4 linked regions of the Caenorhabditis elegans genome follow. The protein of the gene in region 2 interacts with the protein of the main gene of each other region in a pairwise test. Each region holds a gene or a part of one and is shown on either strand. Other genes may lie near its edges. The genes, in order: nadk-1, nrfl-1, spl-1 and F52H2.5.

The links.
Region 1: the proteins of nrfl-1 (region 2) and nadk-1 interact in a two-hybrid assay, tested with the Caenorhabditis elegans proteins (one large-scale study listed by BioGRID).
Region 3: the proteins of nrfl-1 (region 2) and spl-1 interact in a two-hybrid assay, tested with the Caenorhabditis elegans proteins (one large-scale study listed by BioGRID).
Region 4: the proteins of nrfl-1 (region 2) and F52H2.5 interact in a two-hybrid assay, tested with the Caenorhabditis elegans proteins (one large-scale study listed by BioGRID).

The regions. Positions count from the first base shown.
Region 1 is NC_003282.8:1,455,370-1,460,046, reverse strand, and holds nadk-1 (NAD(+) kinase), read right to left. Parts: upstream 2,973-4,677; 5' UTR 2,964-2,972; coding exon 2,868-2,963; intron 2,821-2,867; coding exon 2,732-2,820; intron 1,825-2,731; coding exon 1,106-1,824; intron 893-1,105; coding exon 684-892; 3' UTR 526-683; downstream 1-525. Other genes in the region: col-106 (Nematode cuticle collagen N-terminal domain-containing protein), read left to right, coding at 1-151.
Region 2 is NC_003282.8:9,119,603-9,124,407, reverse strand, and holds the start of nrfl-1 (Na(+)/H(+) exchange regulatory cofactor-like protein nrfl-1), read right to left. Parts: upstream 3,037-4,805; 5' UTR 2,928-3,036; coding exon 2,148-2,927; intron 1,131-2,147; exon of another isoform or gene 730-1,130; intron 604-729; exon of another isoform or gene 532-603; intron 1-531. UniProt on the Caenorhabditis elegans protein: Scaffold protein that connects plasma membrane proteins with members of the ezrin/moesin/radixin family and thereby helps to link them to the actin cytoskeleton and to regulate their surface expression.
Region 3 is NC_003282.8:379,356-384,901, forward strand, and holds spl-1 (Sphingosine-1-phosphate lyase), read right to left. Parts: upstream 3,831-5,546; 5' UTR 3,825-3,830; coding exon 3,751-3,824; intron 3,697-3,750; coding exon 3,586-3,696; intron 3,538-3,585; coding exon 3,401-3,537; intron 3,351-3,400; coding exon 3,202-3,350; intron 2,248-3,201; coding exon 2,069-2,247; intron 2,022-2,068; coding exon 1,778-2,021; intron 1,577-1,777; coding exon 1,430-1,576; intron 1,381-1,429; coding exon 1,260-1,380; intron 1,211-1,259; coding exon 946-1,210; intron 895-945; coding exon 663-894; 3' UTR 530-662; downstream 1-529.
Region 4 is NC_003284.9:2,557,448-2,561,133, forward strand, and holds F52H2.5 (Peptidase_M10 domain-containing protein), read right to left. Parts: upstream 2,099-3,686; 5' UTR 2,062-2,098; intron 1,980-2,061; 5' UTR 1,959-1,979; coding exon 1,847-1,958; intron 1,797-1,846; coding exon 1,691-1,796; intron 1,641-1,690; coding exon 1,421-1,640; intron 1,363-1,420; coding exon 1,124-1,362; intron 774-1,123; coding exon 599-773; 3' UTR 529-598; downstream 1-528. Other genes in the region: aat-3 (Large neutral amino acids transporter small subunit 1), read left to right, coding at 1-28; Delta(24)-sterol reductase homolog dhcr-24, read right to left, coding at 2,672-2,825, 2,871-3,049, 3,093-3,468.

The sequences.
Region 1 (4,677 bases), 7.7 Mb from region 2:
ACACGGAGTTCCTGGAGTCGATGGATCCGATGGAGCACCGGGAGAGGATGCCGCGCCAGGTGGAGACGCTGCCTACTGTCCATGCCCAACGAGATCGGTGGCTGTCGAGGCAGCGCCATCGCAGGCAGAGCAGATCTACAAGACTCATTAGAGAGCTTTTTAATAAAGAATGTCGCATTTCAAATGGTTTTTGTGGTTTTTTTAGTTTCTGGGGTTGCGAAATGACTTCAGCTTGTATGGTTTCAGATTTTTCATATCAGATTATCAGCACTGAACGAGGTCTCAGCACAGGGAGTCTCGCCACAATGGGTCTTACCACGAAGGGTCTCACTGCAATGGGTCTCACCACGGAGGGTCTGGCCTCGATGGGTCCCGCTACGATAGGTCTCGCCACGATAGATCGCACTGCGGGGATCTCACCACGGGGGGTCTCACCACGACAAAGGATCTCGCAACGATGGATCTCTGAAATTTTGAGAAAATGTGCATTTGAAGCACATTTTTGAGACCATTTTATACAGTTATGAAAAAGTAATGAATTTATTTTTTTTTAATTTCAAATTTCAAATTGATGTATCACATAAAATCGTATAAAATCTATGTACAATTACGAATTCATAATTCACAAAAAAAACGACAACCCGAAAACCCGTACAATAAAAACAATACACACAAAATCATTGTTACACAATCACAGTTTTCAAAGCATCATTCGGATTGACCTCGATCGTGGCGACGGCGCCACGTGGGAACGGGATCTTTGTGGATCCGTCAAGGACCAGGTATCCGTTGGTGCATCGGGATTCGAGTTTGATCTTTCTGGCGAATCCGCGGGTCGCCGTGCGTTTGTAGGTGGCGTTGAAGATCGGCTCACGGATTGAGAAGGCGAAACCTGGAAAGTTAAAAGTGAAAGTGAGATAATGAGAAATTCTCAAATTTGAGTTTTCTGAAGCCTGACGATGAGGCCAGCCATGGGGTCCTTTTCTCAGTCCTTTTCCATGTCTGTGCAGGGTCTTATATTTGGAATTGTGTAATCAAAAATACCCCTGACATTTTGTTTCCAACTCAACAAACCCAAATTCCAATCAACTTTCAAAAAACTCACTAGGATGATCTGGCTCGAACGGGATCTTCTCATTCACCGAATTCACCACCTTCTCCACCAAATTCCTTGTGATCGGCACATCCACGCCAAGTGATTGCAGTGCCTCCAACACTGACGTCGTCGCATTCTCATCGATCCTGTTCATTCCGAGGTACCAACTCGTCGATCCGGTCCCAGTCGACACAATCAACCCGGAGGACTTTTGCTTGACTGTCTGCGAATCGTCGATGGAAATATTGTAGGTTGAGACTTTGGCGGCTTCATCCTCTCCGATGAACACCTCGTTCAGGGCGAGGTTTGTTGATTTTTCAGACCTCTTCAATGAGAAAATCGAGTTCCGGGATTCCTTTACTGTTACCCGTATCCTCGTCCTCTGCACCCACTTCAAGTTTCCAGAGACCAGACGCTCGATCAAATCGCGAGGTGGATTCTTGCCACCGACACACAGGTGTCCTTCACTTCCGATCGGGTCAGTGTTGATACCGATGATTGGGGTGTTGTCGTTGACCACGGAAGCTGCAGCCAAGAAGGTTCCATCACCACCGGCAGAGATCACCAGATCAGCTTCAGGCAGGTACTGGGCTAGCTGCTCGCGAGTCACAACTTTTGTGGAGATGCCTGCTTTGCCAAGTTCGGAGACAATTTCCTGCACTGCGTTTACTTGTTTCTTCTCGTTTTCGAGGAGCTCTTGAACCTTGGTGCCTTTTGAGGAGAGGTGCCTGAAAAGATTTAGTAGCTGGGAATATAGCCTGATAGACATTTTTACATTCAAATGAGGTCAGTAGACTTTTGTCAATTGCAGACACCATGGGAAAAATACACAGTTTCGGTTTTTAGCCTAAATATAATTTTCCAAATTTCTGTATGATAGGATATAGGTGAAGCAAAACATGGTGCATCGACCGGACACCTTATACATATTTTATATAGTGTTAATGTTATTAAAATTAAATTCAGGAAACAACCTATTGAATATGAACTTTAAGACATGGTGCATCGACCGAAAATTATCTTCTTTGGTAGCTCATATCTCTGTCTGTTTTAGCGTTATCAAAAAGTTGCTCACAGGCGAAATATGAAATATATGTTTTTCTACTATTTTGTAATAACAATTGTTTGAGTACCTAAAAGATGAACAAAGCTACAAGCTTTAGAAGTGGCTTGAGACATGGTGCATCGACCGGAACCAGCTTTGATAGCTTATATCTCATTTGGCTTTGGGTTTATCGAAAAGTTGCTTTCTGACAAAATATTTAAATATTTGATTTTCTACAGTTTTGTAGTTAAAAATTTTTTACTTTTTACTACCTATAAAATGAACAAAGATATGGACTCTGAATGTGGAGGAAGACATGGACATACATTATTGCAGTTTCAATTTTTTAGTATCTAAAAGATGAACAAAGTTACAAGCTTTAGAAATGGCGTGAGACATGGTGCAATGACTAGAACCAGCTTCCACAGTTTTTATCTCGTTGTATTTGGTTTTAAAAGAAAACTGTCAACTAATAAAATTATTTTTAGCTATGTGCCTATAGTATCTTAAAAATGAACAAAGATATGAGCTTTCAAAGTGGAGATGCAAAACGTGATGCATCGACGAGCAGCTTTGGTTGTAAAACTCACTTTTTCAGATCAGCATCGCTCAAGCCCGTCTGCTCCTTCTCCCATTGCCATCGTGTGCTCTTTCGAAGGATCAACGCAAACCGGATCGCCTAAAAATTTGCTCCAAAACAAGGCTTAAAATCGAAATTTGGCTCACCGGCTGCTGTCTGCTTCCGCTCGGTTTTCCTTGTGTTACCGGAGAAACTGGGCGCGCCACGTGGCTCACGCAGTGAGAAATTGCCAAAGCGGCCATGATGGACGGCTGGAATTATAAATTATTAGAAATTGGAAATGGATATTTAATGGAATCAAAAAAGAGAGAGAGAAAAGGTTAAAATATGATAGAAAAGCTTATCAGTTAGTTTTTTTTTCAGCCGCCTCATCACACACGAAAAGTCATTCGAGAATTCGCCAAAAAATCAACACAAATGGCACCATTATTTTCAAATTTCCAAAATTTCAAAATTTCAAAAATTTTTCCCGATTTATAAATAAACGGGGCTCCGCCTTCCGAACGTCTGGGCGCCGCCCACCGTTCCGGTAGGCTACAACAATAGAAATTGTGTGGGAGGTGGTGGTTTGTTCCCCTCGTGCTCAGATGTGCTCGCAATGTTTGATTTTTGAGGAGAAATTGAAAGTTGAGAATTGAGAATTGACACAAAGTAAATAAATGGTGTTGAAATGATACTTGACGCCATGATGGAATTTTTTGGAAAAAATGGTGTTTTGATCGGCTGGAGTATAAGGAGTATAAGTTTAAGCTGTGATATCTCTACGAGTAGAGGAGTTATCAAAAATATGCCAACTAATAAAATATAGAACTTTAAAAGTTGCGTATTTTCGTAGTTGGCAACTTTTTAATGGAGTTCACCTCCGCGGAGTTACAGACGCCTGGAGGTTCAGTGGTGAAGGGTGAGCAGTAGTGTCGAAGACTAGAAATCGTTGTAATTTGTTGGAAAGTGGATTTATCAAAAAACTGTTAAACTAGCAATTTATTTATCACATAAAACTGTACATTTTTGTAATTTGCAACTTTTTCATAACAGTAACCTCCGTTTAGTTACAGGCGCCTAAAGTTTGGTGGTGAAGCGGCAAGGGAGCCGATGAAGAGAGCTACTGAAATTTCTGCCCTTGTATCTCCTCGGAGAATAAATTTATCCTAAAATTGTTAACTAACAAATTATTTACCACATAAAACTGAACATTTTTGTAATTGTGAACTTTTTCATAAAACTACCCTCCGCTGAGTTACAGGAGCATAAAGGTTTAGTGGTGAGAAGTAGGGTGCCAATGGCTGAAGCTAGCACCCTCCGTATCTTGTCGAATAGTTGATTTGTCGCAAAATTGTTCATTAAAAGATTATTTACCACATAAAACTGAACATTTTTGTAATTTTCATCTTTTTCATAGCATTAACCTCCGCTGAGTTATAGCCGCCTTAAAAAAACACTACATGCTCAAGTTAACAACTGTTGAATAACTTTTACTTCGAAGGAGTTAAAAGGAGTTAAAAGTAAAAATACGTTATGAGAATTTGATTTTAAAAGGCTGCGGGATTCAGCTTGTGCTAAAACCTCTATACCTCGTCGAAAAGTAAATTTATCACAAAATTGTTAAATTACAAAATATTCATCTCATAAAACTATAAATGCAACCGAACGCATTTTTTGATACCACTCACTTCCACTGAGTAACGGGCGCCAAACCGTTCAATAAACAGTGCAAATGCTTTCTAACAGTCTGCGCCTCCACTGATTCCATTATATTTTTTTCTTCGGCAATTAAAAAAAAAGAAAAATGACCGTTTTCTATGCTGGGAGAACCAAAGAGAATTCGTTGAAAATCAATTTTCAAAACAAAAACAGCGGCGATGATTTCGAAACATACGATGTGACCAATGACCAAAAACTATAGAGCACGGGAGACCACAAAATTTTGTGTCCGACTAGAGAAATGGGTGAGAATGG
Region 2 (4,805 bases):
ACTTGAAATAGTCTAATGTATATTATTTCTGATATTCTTTCGAATAAAAGTGAATATAAAAAACAAGTCCCAAAAATATCGGATTACAAGATGCGTTTCAATGTTGGGAAATGCCAAGAAATAAAATTCAAGTTTTGTGAAAGTTTTCCGACAAGTTATTTGTATTTCTAACATGTTCCGAAACCACAAAACATTTTATGAGATTCAAAGTTTGTTTGAAGGAAAAGAATATTGAACATACAACGTTTGATGAATGTGTACTTTTTGAAGAAAATTAGTAAAATACTTGAGAAAGTGTCTAAACATGACAAATGACAAGAATGGGAGAAGATTGTTGGTTTTTTGTAAAAATTAATAGAATTGGAATGTTGCAATCTTTTAGTGAAGCAAGATATTCCAATGCGTCATGCTTCGTTAACTATCTTTCTATTGAATGAGAGAGAGAGCACGAGACACAGACAGATTGAAATAAAGACATGGCAGGTGGAGGATAAAAAACAATTGGAAGAAGGTGTCTAATGGAGGACCAATTAGATATATTCAAATGAAGGTCATTTATTAAAGGACAAAGAAACGAAGAGGAAGATTTGTAACGAATGATAGGTAAGTGGAATTGTTGCGGATTACTGTAGTCAGACAACTTTTTTGAATTTGGTTCTCTCTGAGAATATGGCTTACGAACAAGATTTCTTAAAGGAGTAAAAAATTTTAATCGATTTTCCATTTTAGAATTTTCGAATGTTTCATCGAGTTGTAATATACTGTTAAACACTGGAATGCTGGTAACTCGTTAGTCTTCCAAAACTATTTCTGTTTCATCATATTTTTAATTATGTCACAATTTATTGAAGTGTTAATTGTCAAAAATAATAACCTATTTATTGATTAATTTACACTCCTCTTTGAGTTGTTTTTCTACACTCATTTCAATCTTCCTAACATTGAACTGTGCAAATTTCCAGTCCGCCAGTCTTCCAATATTTATGTTATTTTCCGTATCAATACCTCATAAATCTATCTGCTATCATATCTCTGTATCCCATTTTCTCATTTAATTTACAGTTCCTCTTCCAACTTTCTAATGTCTCAATTTTGATCATAAATCATCATTTTGTTCTGTTTCTCTCGCACTAAACATATTTTTTTATTACTTGTCTTCTTCATTGTCATTTTCTTCTCAATAAAAAATGATCTACCTTCTCTCTCCTTTCTTGCCAATGCCACAACACACATTTAACAAAACATACATAAGCTTCAAGAGGCTGAATGAGAGAGTGCGTAGAGTGCAGACACAGTTTTAACAGTTTTCTCGTATGTTTGCGGTTTACTTGGCAAGTTGGCAAAATTTTTGGAAATGTATGCAAGAGAAGATGGAGGAAAGATGAGTCAGAAATATGAAGAAGAGGAAATGATACTCGTATTTATATGAAAATGAAATTCTTTTTGGAGAAAATGGAAATATTGAAGAAAAAAGTTGAAGAGGATGACGAATACCTCAACAAATGTTGGAATAGTTTATAAAACATAGTACCCAATTGATAGTTTGGCGAAGTTGGTCTCTAATCAATTTAAAGAAAAAATACTGAAATCCTTATCAAATTGTTTTTGAAGAATTTGGGTAAGGATAGGCACGCGTACCAGTATGGGAAAGATGAAAAACAAAGAAAAGAAACCAGTTGAAATACCATTTCAATTAATTCTACGGTGTGCATTTTATCTGAAATGCTGTAAAACAAGTTGAGATTTCACGTTTTAAAGAAGTATGGTTTTATGATGAATTATAGCCCAAACCAAAAAATGTGTAATTTAAATTTTTAAATTTTGAATAAACAGGAACAATTGTCAGCAAAAAATTTGGATCAACTTTGGTCCGTAAAATATAATTTTCCATCGTTTCTTTGGAGCTATCGGTTCATTTTAAAGACAGTTGCTGACATCAACAAAATTATTAACTAAAAAATTATAGTAAAATAGATTATAAGTAGAAAGTTGTCAAATTATAATAAAATCAATGAAAAATCAGTTATGAGCTGCCTACAGTAAGGGGGTGCAATACTAATAGATAATTCTCTAACTTTTAAATTTATAATTGTTAGAAAGAAGTTTTATTTTTGAGTCGATATTTCAAAATCACAACGTGTGCTCACCCGACTCCTAGATTCCAATGATTCAATACTCCTTACAGATCCATCTTTGAAGATTCCGTTCCTTTTTCGTGAGGTCCTCTCGTCTTCTTCTTCTGATCTTATAACTTCATCAAATTGTCTCATCACATCCCGTTGCTCCGCATCCATCCAATCACTCATTCTAGTTCTTTTGATTCGAATTGATTCAGTTTTCCAATCAAGTTTCGGAACTCGCAGCAACACGTGGCTACCAGATGGAACGATAGCAATGAGTTCAGATGGGCGGATGGTAGAAGCGTCGGAGATCGTTGATGATGCACGTGAAGGTGCACGGAAAGATACAGTCGATGATGTGGTGGTAGTGGTGGAAGAAGCAGATGATGAGGGTTTCTTCAATTTCTTTAGCAACGTCAAAGACTTTTGTCTTGAGAGAGTAGAGACGTAGGCTGGAGAACAAGTCCTCTGAGACGAATGAGGTGTTAGACAGTTGTTGCAATAGACGAACGACGAAGAGGGAGGCAATAATGATGAATCCTTTGGCGCTGGGTCCCCTAGACCCGCTACTTGTCTAACTGTCTGCGTAGCATCTCCTCGTGTTACTATCTCAGTGCGCGGAATACCTGCGTCTCTGGTGATCTGCTCCGTTGATTTGTCATCGGTAATCCGTTGTGGTTGTGGGAGATGTGGTAGATGCGAGGAGATCAACCACAAATAGTACACGAAAGAGGTGTAGAGATACGAAATCCACGTGATTGGGTTTTTCCAATCTATTCTTTCTGGTTCAGATGGATTGCGATCCATGTTTGAAGAAGGCAATATGCAGATTTAGAATTGAAATTTCTTAGCTGAGAATAAGAGTTGAGAATACTGTAGTGATGTGCCGAAGAGCCAAGGAATGTGAATCAAACAAAAGTGCCTTTTTGGTATTCCTTTGTTTGTCAAGATATATAACTTTTTTGTCCCTCTTCGTGCCTCAATGCATAGAATATGTATGGTTTGGCCCATAAATTCTTTGCCCCGTCTTTTTCCATCTTCTTCATATTTTTATTGAATATTAACATACAAAACAGGCACACACACACAAAACCAACGCTATTGTGTCGTCCGTTTCTTCATCGATTCGAGAATCATCGAAAAGTTGTTCCGTTTGAAGAATAATGGTTGAGAACGTCTTGGAGTGCATGGAGAATCAGATTGTAAATCAAAAATTGGAGGAGAGAAAGTACAAGTGGATGACTAGAAATGATGTCTTAGCAATACTTAGATATTACAAGGAACTTAGAAAAGTTTACAAAACTTTTGCAATAAATCAAATATTTTTATGGAGTTCTAAAGAAAAGTTTTAATCAGATTTCAATCGCCTAAACTATATAAAGCATCATCGAATGACAGAATATGTGCATTACAATTTCAAGATAGTCTCCAAACCAACCACGGGTTTTCCTTAATGAGGAAACATTTTTTGTGCGGAAAAGGCAATTCCCGAATTTTTGAAATTTATGAATAAGTCTTTTAACTATTTATGAAACAGAAAAAAATTATTCAATTTTTTTGCAAGAATTTTTATTTCCATTTCTTCATTTGAGATCGGATATTGTATAACTTTTTAAAAATTTCAGTTCTAAAATTGCATAGCCATTAATAATGTTAATTCCAATTTCCCCAGGTTCAATTACCAATTTTTAATTTTCATTGTTCCTATAACTTTCATCTAAAATGACGTCATTTCTTGTCTATCGACTCCCTGTCTATCTACCTCGAAATATTTGTCAATCCTTTTTTAGTGTGAGAACATATGAAAATGACGCATAAAAATGGTTCAGTGTGACTCAGTAGATATACGAAGTTCGGTTGATCAAGTGCAACTAGAGGTGTCAAATAAACAAATGATGCTCAATGAGCAACTACAGCTATACTATTTGATATTCGATACTGTTTGAAAATTACAAAATAACAATGAGGAATAAACAAAGTGGAGAAAGGAGAAAATTATGTGAAAAGGCAAAAAGACTGACCTGTGAATATGACGTGGGTGCGTACCACGAACTTGGCGGGGGAGAATTGTTGGACGGATGACAGGAGTTCCTCTGACAATTGGTAACATAAGGGATTTTAGGCGCAACAAAGGGAAATAAGACAAATGGAAAATGTTTCTAATTTTACTGTCAAAAACGAATATTGCATTCTTCACGACAATGAAGACTTTTTTATCTTACATGTTAAAAATTTTAGAATTTAAAATAAAGTTAGGAGAATGAGAAAAGTCACACAAAATTGTTTTTTTTAATTTTGTAAAGATAAAATCTACATTTTGACTAACCATTGGAGAAACTCGTTCGATATTTGGAAGGTCCAATGTGATTTGAACATTATTTTCATTGTACCACTTAGCTCCTTCTTCAGAGATCACAAGCATTTCACATCGATTTGGATTTGCTTTTATGCGCTCAACCACCTTCTTGTGATTTTCTCCAATAATCGAGTGACCATTGACAGCAAAGATTCGGTCACCAGTGATTAATCCTCCTCTGAAAATATTTAAACAATTGGTAAAATAGAAACAAAAATTGCAGTTTCTTCTCCGACAATGCCAATACTTTAAAATATTCTACAATTTTCAGAGCTGACCAGAGAAAATGGACTAACTGTGAAAGCCTTCATAGCATTTTAGTATTGAGA
Region 3 (5,546 bases), 8.7 Mb from region 2:
AAGTTCATTTTCAATATAAATTCCTTTTAAATACAGAGAAACAACGAAACTCATAAAAATAGAATAAAATTGTCAAAGGTTTCGATATTTCTGCCAATTTTGTACGGAAATTTTGATCATTCCTGTTCAAAAATGGTGAACCTCTATGATTTTCCGTCTGAAAATCACGAAATTCCAAGCTTCTTCAACTAATTACTCAAATCAGGGGAGAAATTACCCCACAACCTCCGAATAGCAGACTTACAACTGAATTTCTGTATTTTTTGACTCAATTAAATGAAAACATTTTTTTTTACACAGAAAAATGCAATTTCAATCGAAAAAACGAAAAATTCTGTTCAAAAACAAAGAAATCCCAAAAAATGAGAACTCAAAAAGATGTAAATAAACAAGAATATTCAAACTGCCGCCACCAATTGGCGTATCGTGGCGAGACCCTTTCAAGTAAAGTGACGCGCCTTTAATTAGAGTTTTAATTTTAATTTGAGAAAACATTCGGTTTTTATCCGTTTTTCAGCTAGATCTTGACAATTAATTCGTTATAATTGGTATATATATTTATTTACTACAGAAAAAAATCACAGAATAGTATATATTTATTTACTACAAAAAAAATCACAGATATATTGGTGCAAATAGAGAAAATTCAATGGAAAAAGTAATTAATTAGAAGTTGAAGGTGGAGCTGAATAAGTTGCGTCAATGTACAGAGCGATAACCTCGTCCACTACTGATTTTGGTACTTGCGCAGCCATTCCATACATCGCAGCCATTCCACTGTCAGCTTTTTGTTCACCTTTTGCAGCGAGTTCTTCACAAATCTTCTCAAGGTCGACGGCGAACGCATTCACAACTTCCTCGTTCGCTTGATTGATTGTCAAACAAATGTGGATTCTGAAACAAAAAATTTAGCAAGCTGATAACTCATAAAATTGATAAACATACGCCGCTGGATTCTGCAGAGTGTTCAAATTCCATCCGAGCTTCATCATTTTGTCAGAAACTTCGTAGATATTCACACCATTTCCGGAGAACGCCACCAATGAAACATCCGATTTTCCATAAGGCTTGATCCATTTGATTTTCTCAATTTTCTCGGCCAGCATTCGTGTATGCTTCACAATTTGAGCACATCTTCGAACATATTCGTCTCGACCGAAGGATAAAAGTGTGGCCCAGGCGACGGCAGTGTTGGCTCCAGCTCGGGATCCTAAGGGATCTCTTTGATTCTATTGAAGCTACTAAAACATTCTTCAAACCTGCAATAGTCGGGGTGGCATAGATGCCTCCACACCAATCGGCAACCGAGAAATACTGGAAGTGATGAAGTTCCTTGGAACGATACATGACAATCGATGAACCTTTCGGTGTGCATCCGTACTGAAAGATTTTGAATTGAAGGAAAAAAATGGATAGAACTGTATCCAACCTTATGAGTATCACACGAAATAGATGTAACACCGGGATTTCTGAAATCGAATACAGGAATCAGGTATCCGGCGTCATTCATAAATGGAATCATGAATCCACCAAGACATGCGTCCACGTGGACCGGGATTCCATACTTTTTGCCGAGCTGAAAGTGTAAACGTTCGATTAAGTAATCAAAAAAGGCCATTTTTTGGACTAGCATCTGTGAGTTTTTTTAAAAATTATTTTAAGTTAGAAAAAAGTATCGTATTTTTGCTGAATTCAATTAGAGTTCCCGCTCACAATGTAATTTTGTTCAGTCATTTCTCTATTTTTTCCGCGATATTGAGGCGGGAATTTCCAGTACCTTAGCAATTTCCGGAATTGGATCAATTGTGCCTGATGGGAAGTTAGGCGCTGAGCCAACCAACATACAAACATTCGAATCAATTAGTCTCTCCATTTCTTTTAAATCGACACGATTATCCGAATCAACTGGAACGTGGCGAAGACGCATTCCGCATAGATGGGCGGCCTTATCAAATGCCGCGTGAGCTGTTTTACATGCCAAAATAACTGGATGTTCAATGCCAAGAGAGTGTGCACGATTTCTGTAGAGTTTGCAAAATTGAATTTTAAGAGTTGAATAAATGCTTACCGATACGAAAAGCATGCCATAATAATACTTTCAGTACCACCAGAAGTTACACTTCCACTAGAATCTTCTGGTCCATTATACAGGTTCAGAACCATTCGAATAAGTTCTGCCTCCATTTTACGAGCTCCCGGAAAGACGTCAGGGTGGAGGGGATTCGAGAACGCATACTTTTCGTAAATCTGGATATAAAAGATGGCAATTTTTATTTTAAGAAATGTCTAGTTTCAAAATTATTTTCATGTAGCTAATATTTCTTGGCGGAAACCATCCAATTTTCTAGAAATTTCTTGAAAATTGACAAACTAAATGATTTCTAAAACGTCCAAAATTCAATTTTTGAATATCTGAATCGGATTCAAGGCGCATTTTTTTTGTCGACAAGTTCGGCAAATTTTAAATTCCGGCAATATCCCGATTTGCCGTTTGCCGGATATCAGATTTGCCGGAAATGTTTAGAGGGACTATTTAGATGACGGAAACACATAAAACTGTGCCTCTTTGAAATATTTTCCCCGTTTTCTTTAGATATTTTCATATAATTTACTGACTTTTCAAAAAAGATGTTAATAGGGATATTCATAGGATGCGTACAATTTTGCCTGAAATTTCCAGAAAAATGTGCAAAACCACAATTTGCCGAATATTTCTGGCAATCGCCGTTTTTCAGGCAAAGGCAAATCGGCAACTGACCGGTTTGCAGGAAATTTCAATTACCGCAATTTGCCGGTTTGCAGGAAATTTCAATTCAGCCGATTTGCCGGTTTGCCGGAAATTTCAATTCCGGCAATTTGCCGGTTTGCAGGAAATTTCAATTACGGCAATTTGCCGGTTTGCAGGAAATTTCAATTCCGCCAATTCGCCGGTTTGCAGGAAATTTTAATTACGGAAATTTGTCGGTTTGCCGGAAATTTCAATTCCGTCAATTTGCCAACTTGCAGGAAATTTCCATTCCGGCAATTTGCCGATTTGCAGGAAATTTCCATTCCGGCGATTTGCCGATTTGCCGGAAAAAATCGTTTGTCGCCCCTGATCTGAATTGGATTCAAAGCTTCCCTACAGGATATACTATGTAGCTATTTACAAGAGAATATATTTGAGAGCTAAGATTTTGAAAAATTCTAGAATTTCTAAACCTTTCCAAGCAAATTAATGTGTTCAGCATGACGATCAGTATAAACCGCTCCAGATACTCGTCCTCCGTCAATGTTAAATGTGTTGTAATCCTCATATTTTTTCGCCAGTTCCATAATTGAGTCCTGAGATAATGGAGCGATGGGAAGAGCTGAAAAATAGAATTAATGAATTGGTTAATTAATAAATGTTCAAACAAACTGGAAATGAATTGCTTGTCCTTATCATCCTTATGAATCGATTCAATAAGCTTTGGCTTCTCAGCAGCCAGCTCTTTTTCGATTTTATCCCGAACAGCTGGAAGTTTTCGAAGAAGTGAGAATACATAAGCTCCCATGCTGAAAATTTCATTTTGATATTTCTAAAATTCGCAAGAAAACACTTGCCGTTTCAAAATTGGATCCTCGCTTTTTCGGTACAAATGGACGACTTTTGTATAGACAAGGGTACCCCCAAAAGCGGCCAACACTAGAACAACCGGATCATACCGAGAAAGTCTGAAAATCTTGAATTAGTAATTTCCAAATATCTAATTTTTGTTTAAAATTCACCTATCATTTATCATGTGATAGTGCATTTTTGTCAAGTCGACAATAATTTCGGTTGTGTGCTTAACCGAATCCATTGTAACCTGAAAATTAATTTATTGTGGTATTTTTCAAATGAAACCAAGTGTGCGCCTTTAAGGAGTGCTGTAGTTTCGATATATCGCGAACTAATATTTTCTTATTTATACATACCCTTCAAAAACAAAGTGTGAAGAAAAATTACCAAACCACGAGAAACTACTGTGCCACTTAAAGGCGCACACTCCTTTTCAATTGAAATTAGTCGTGGCACACAAACATCAAAATTTGGAAATGAAACCAACTTCACGAAAAAAAACTTTTTTCAGAAACAAAACGGTAAAGTATACTGATAAGAATATGATACGTGGTCATTATCACAAAAATCGAAAAGAAACGAAAAATCATGGATGAATTTATGGGAATTTCTTGGAGAGACACAGAGAAAATTACAAATGTTTGTGCACATGAATGTGCATAGAAACATAGAAAAAGGTACAGGTACAGGGGTACAAAACAGAACAAATAAATAATAGGACATGGCAGAACTTTTGGAAGGAAGTGGAGTAGAAATTTTGCATTAAAATGATTTTAAAAAATTGAATTGTTGATCATCCTCTTCATCCTGTGGTTTATGTTTTCTGAGAATTGCTCCCGGAGCAGGATAGGGTCTTTGTTGGAAAAGTGGTCCACCAGCAGTCACGTCGGCTCCTGTTACGTGATCAACGCGAAGGCCATCCGACCATTTTTCACTGAAATAGGGTAGAAAATCAGATTTTGTTGCTCGAATATTATTCGATTTTGCGTAAAAAACGTGGTTTGCGTTTTTTTGAAGCTATTTCCGAAAATTCAGATGAAAAATTATAATTTTCTGAAGAAAAACTATAAATTTATCTAAAATTAGACCGCTGCAACACGGAAAAGTTGGCGAAATTAGAAAATTTTCAATTTTTGAATCCAATTCTCGAAAATTCCAACTTTTTCGCTTCAGAAACGGAGCGCAGCTTACACTGGAGCGCCTCCATGAGCTCCTGGATCCATTGGATCAATTCCTTTCCTTTTTGCTCTTTTCAGTCGATCCTTATTTGTCATTTCCTGTAACTCGTCTTCATCTGAATCTGGACCCTGTGACGTCATCGGATCACGTCGCTTCCGCTTTTCAGCATTATTGCCACGTGATTGCTTATCATCATTCCCTCCGCGTGAAGTTTTCTTGTTGTGGAAATTTCTGCGGCGAGCGGCATTGTTCTCCTGGAAAAAAAATATATAGTTTTAAAGAATAAATGTTCCGAAATGAGTATTTAAAGGCGCTCGGATCCTTTTGGATGGGAACAACTTTTCCGGCGGTTAGACCCATCCGAGTAAATCTGATAAATCTGTGTGCCTTTAAGTACGATTTCAGCATCTAATTCTACCTCAGATGCGTGAGAATCTCCGAAAAGCACTGTAGCATGCTCTCTGGCGATTCGAGGAGCTGGATCACTAATTATAGCTCGTGGATGACGCGGAGAATACCAACAAACCTGAAAAAATTTTTTTTTAAATCTGGAAATTATTCTGCTACTCACCTCATCTGTTGTTTTATTCCAGAAGTAATACTTCGCAAGTCCCTCATCATAGACTTCAACTCAGTTTTCGTGAAGTAGAAACTTTGCAAGGATTCTGTTCTTATTCTGTACATATCTCTCGGGCAAACTACAAAAAATAGCTATTTTAAAATAATTTTTCTCTAAAATTCAATACAAACCGATATTCCGGAGTTCCATCGACCCAATGACAAT
Region 4 (3,686 bases), on a different chromosome or scaffold from region 2:
GGTTGTCGACGCCAACAAAGAGGAATAGTGTCATAAAAACTTGTAGCTCTCAGTTCTCGGCGCTCACAATCCCCAGTTACCACCAATTTAGTTTTCGTTGTTTTCTTTTATTTACTAAAGTTCGAGAAAAACTGATCTCAACTATATTATTTCCCCCCCCCCCCTCCCCCCAATTTTACAGTATTTTGCCGCCGATATAAAAGAATACAATGACAATTCGTACAAGTAGAAATGCGAAAAACCATAATTATTTTGGCATAATAAATATATTCTCACTTCAAACACTTCTACATATTCTGGCTAATAATCGGTTTTCCTGAAAGTTGTTGAATTGCAATTTACAAGGTTTTTACTTATTGTTAGATTTTTTTCCACGGAGTTACAGGTTTTCACAAACAGTAGAATATGTTTAGAACCTAATTTTTAGTTTAAAATCTAAGTTAGATTGTTCTGGAACGTTTTACTTGCTCCAGATGCGGGTGCTCAACGCCTCTTTTTTTCAGACCCCTGGTTAATTAGTTGGAAATTGTTAAAATGGTTTATGTGTCTAAAATTATGTTTTTACATGTGAAAAATAAATTAAAACGTAGTTTTTGGCTCAGCGGCGACGAATGCGGTCATAGTCACAATTGTTGTAAATGGACGATTTTTTGTAGAATAACGATGCTCCATAGACAAATTGAACAAGAAGCGAATCCCAATCCGAATCTTTTGGAACAATGCATTCAAAATTCATATCAACGGAATAGTAGAATCGATTTGTGTAGTAGGAGCTGAAATTTAAATTTATTGAAAATGAGCAAAAATATTTTGAAGGTGGAGTAGCGAAAATTGCCTTTAAAAATGCCTATAATGACCTAAATCTCATACTTAAAAATTCAAAAAAAGTGATAAATTTTATATGAGTTTTTGAAATTCGGAAAAAACTCCGTTTTCCACTTTTTTAAAGCCGTCGATTTGAAAAAAATACCGTTTTTATTATCTACTTACGTGTGTTTCAAAAATTATCAGGGAATCGAACATACGATAGTGCTCTAGTTTTTTCAAAAAGTGGCAAAAACTCAATAATTGCCACTTTTTGAAAAAATCCAATATTTTTCGAAAAGTTTCACTAAAAACTCACTTGTTCAGAAACATGACTGTGTGGAATCCTGCACTGCTTTCGAATTTCAGCGATCTGTCTTTCTCATCATACACAAATGTTGCAACTGGTGGATCTGGGAGCACTTGACCAATAAGGGTTTCAGAAACAATTCGAGCAGAGTGATCATCTAACAAAATGGCCAAGTCAATACGATTTTCTTCATTGAACAACTGGATGACTCCGGACATGATTCCAACATCAGAATGGAAAGCTCCAAACTGGGAAAGTTTTCATTTAAACCAAATGATCAGAATAGTAAGATTTGAAAAAACTCACCATATGCATCATCTCATGAAGAAAATGATTAAGAAGCATTTCAAACGCTGCTTTTTCGTTAGCTGGTAGCTTATCGATATTTGTCTCTTCGGAAAGTTCGTCAATTTTGCTCTTCGGAATGTGGATCTCAGCTCGATTACCATTGGCGAATGCAGTCAGTTTGGCGGGAACCTCGATGTCTTCCACGAAAATCACAATTTTCACACCATCTGGATTGCACCTGAAAAATGAATTCTTAACAGTTTCATCCAAATTCTAATAATAACGTACTCAACTTCTTTGTCAGCTACAACACGTTTGTATTCTAACTTTGAGTGCTCAGTCTGCCCATCGTTTTTTTCTAGGAAATGTTCGATTGCCTGGAGACCATACGTAACTGTAAAAATTAGTCTTAACAGAAAAAAATACATTTGTAAAATAACTCACTGATATTGTCAATTTTCGACATTGTTGTCTCATCAGCAGTTTCTCCAGAGGTACTTGTCACGAACATTCCTTGAACAAAAAGTTTTGGTTTGTCAATTAACCCGTCCGACATTTTTTCAACCCGTAGAAGTGTCTGAAATTTTCTGAATTGACAACTCTGCGAAAACAAAGTAGATATTAATTATTTAACTAAATTGAAATAAAAAGTAACTCACAAATGAGGTTGAAACGAAAAAACAGAGGTACTCGAACACTGTTCAACATTCAAAACAAGAAACGCGCCAAGAAAACTAAATGTGGGTCAGTAACACTTGCGCGTCGGCAGAGAGGGTGGAGGTCCCGATTGTGTGCAGACACGCAGTTATAAAACAAAATGGGGAAAAAAAGTGAAATAACAGTTCAAAAAAAAACTTTTAAAAAAATTTGTTTTTAAATTTATTCTGCATGGTAATGTATTTAGTTAAATTAATTGATTTGTAAACTTATGAAAATGAAGACCAACAAAAATTGTACGCCGTTTCTGAAAATTGAGCCTGTAAAATGATAAAATTTAAGCAGTACAATGAAGTAATTGAGATGAGAAAAACAATCGAGCAATGACTATCAATTCAAAAAAGTGAACTGCGAACAATGTAGAAGTGATTAAGCCTCATTGATATTGTGCAAAAATCACCAAATAGCAGAATAAAAGTTTTGGAAAATTTTTCATGTCTTATCAAAACGTGAAACCTTTTAAACTTTTTTAAAAATGATATTTGGTCATTTTAACATCATAGGATTAATTTTTAATCATTTCTCGCATAGTCCACCTTTAAATAAAAAATTTTAACGCCTTCCACTTCTGCAAATTTTATCGTAAATATCTGGGAACGCATCGATACATTTGCAAGATGCTCTTTTCCAATCATAGAGTGTTCTGTCAAACATTTCAGCGTACTCAGCTCGTGTCATGTAAATGTCGGCATATGTCATTTGGAATCTGAACGATAAATTATTAAAGTGATAATTTATAGGCAAATTTTACCCATTGACTGATCGAACAAACGATTCCAGTCGCCGTGTTGTTCTCTCGTGATGATAACCATCCTTGGATGTTACTCCATACGCTCCAACATCCACGTACATCTTGTGAGTAGCATTTCTCAATTTCATGAGACCTGGTTGGGATTTCAAGTAGAATGGGCACAACCACATTGGATAGATCTGGAAACAATGCTAGAAAATATGGAAAATCTGAAAAACGTACTTCGACTTCTTTGTGAAAAAGATCGATGCACTCTTCCAACTTATCCAGTGGTACAAGCATATCTTGCAAAACATGACTACGATCGTACAGCTTTCTTAAAACGTTTGGAGTTGTTGCCTTTAAAAATGCAATCTTTGGGGGGCACATCCAAGCCATCAAGTAACGAAACAGGACATTGTTTCCGAATGGGACGATGTCTCTGAGCTCCCAGAAAATGCTCTTTGAGTGACGATGGTAGTAGTCACGGAGTGGAATGTACTCAATGGATTCGTGCTTTTTATTGATCAAATCTTCAACGTGAGTGTAGAACCATTTTTTGTACCACCTTCCAATTGGGTTGACGACTTCATCGTGAGTGTCTGGGCCATCAGAAAATCTGAAATTTATTGTGAAAGTTTGAAAATATTTGGGGTGAGAATGCGTCTTATTGCATATAGATTTTTTTTTGAAATTGCGGAAATTTATGTCAATCACTATAATCTTTCATTTGACGATAGTTTCAAAAAGTTTCTCAAATTAACCTAGCCACTTTGAAAACATTCGTTTAAAAAACTAAACAACTTTTTTTGACGATAAACAAAAAACATTTTTTTA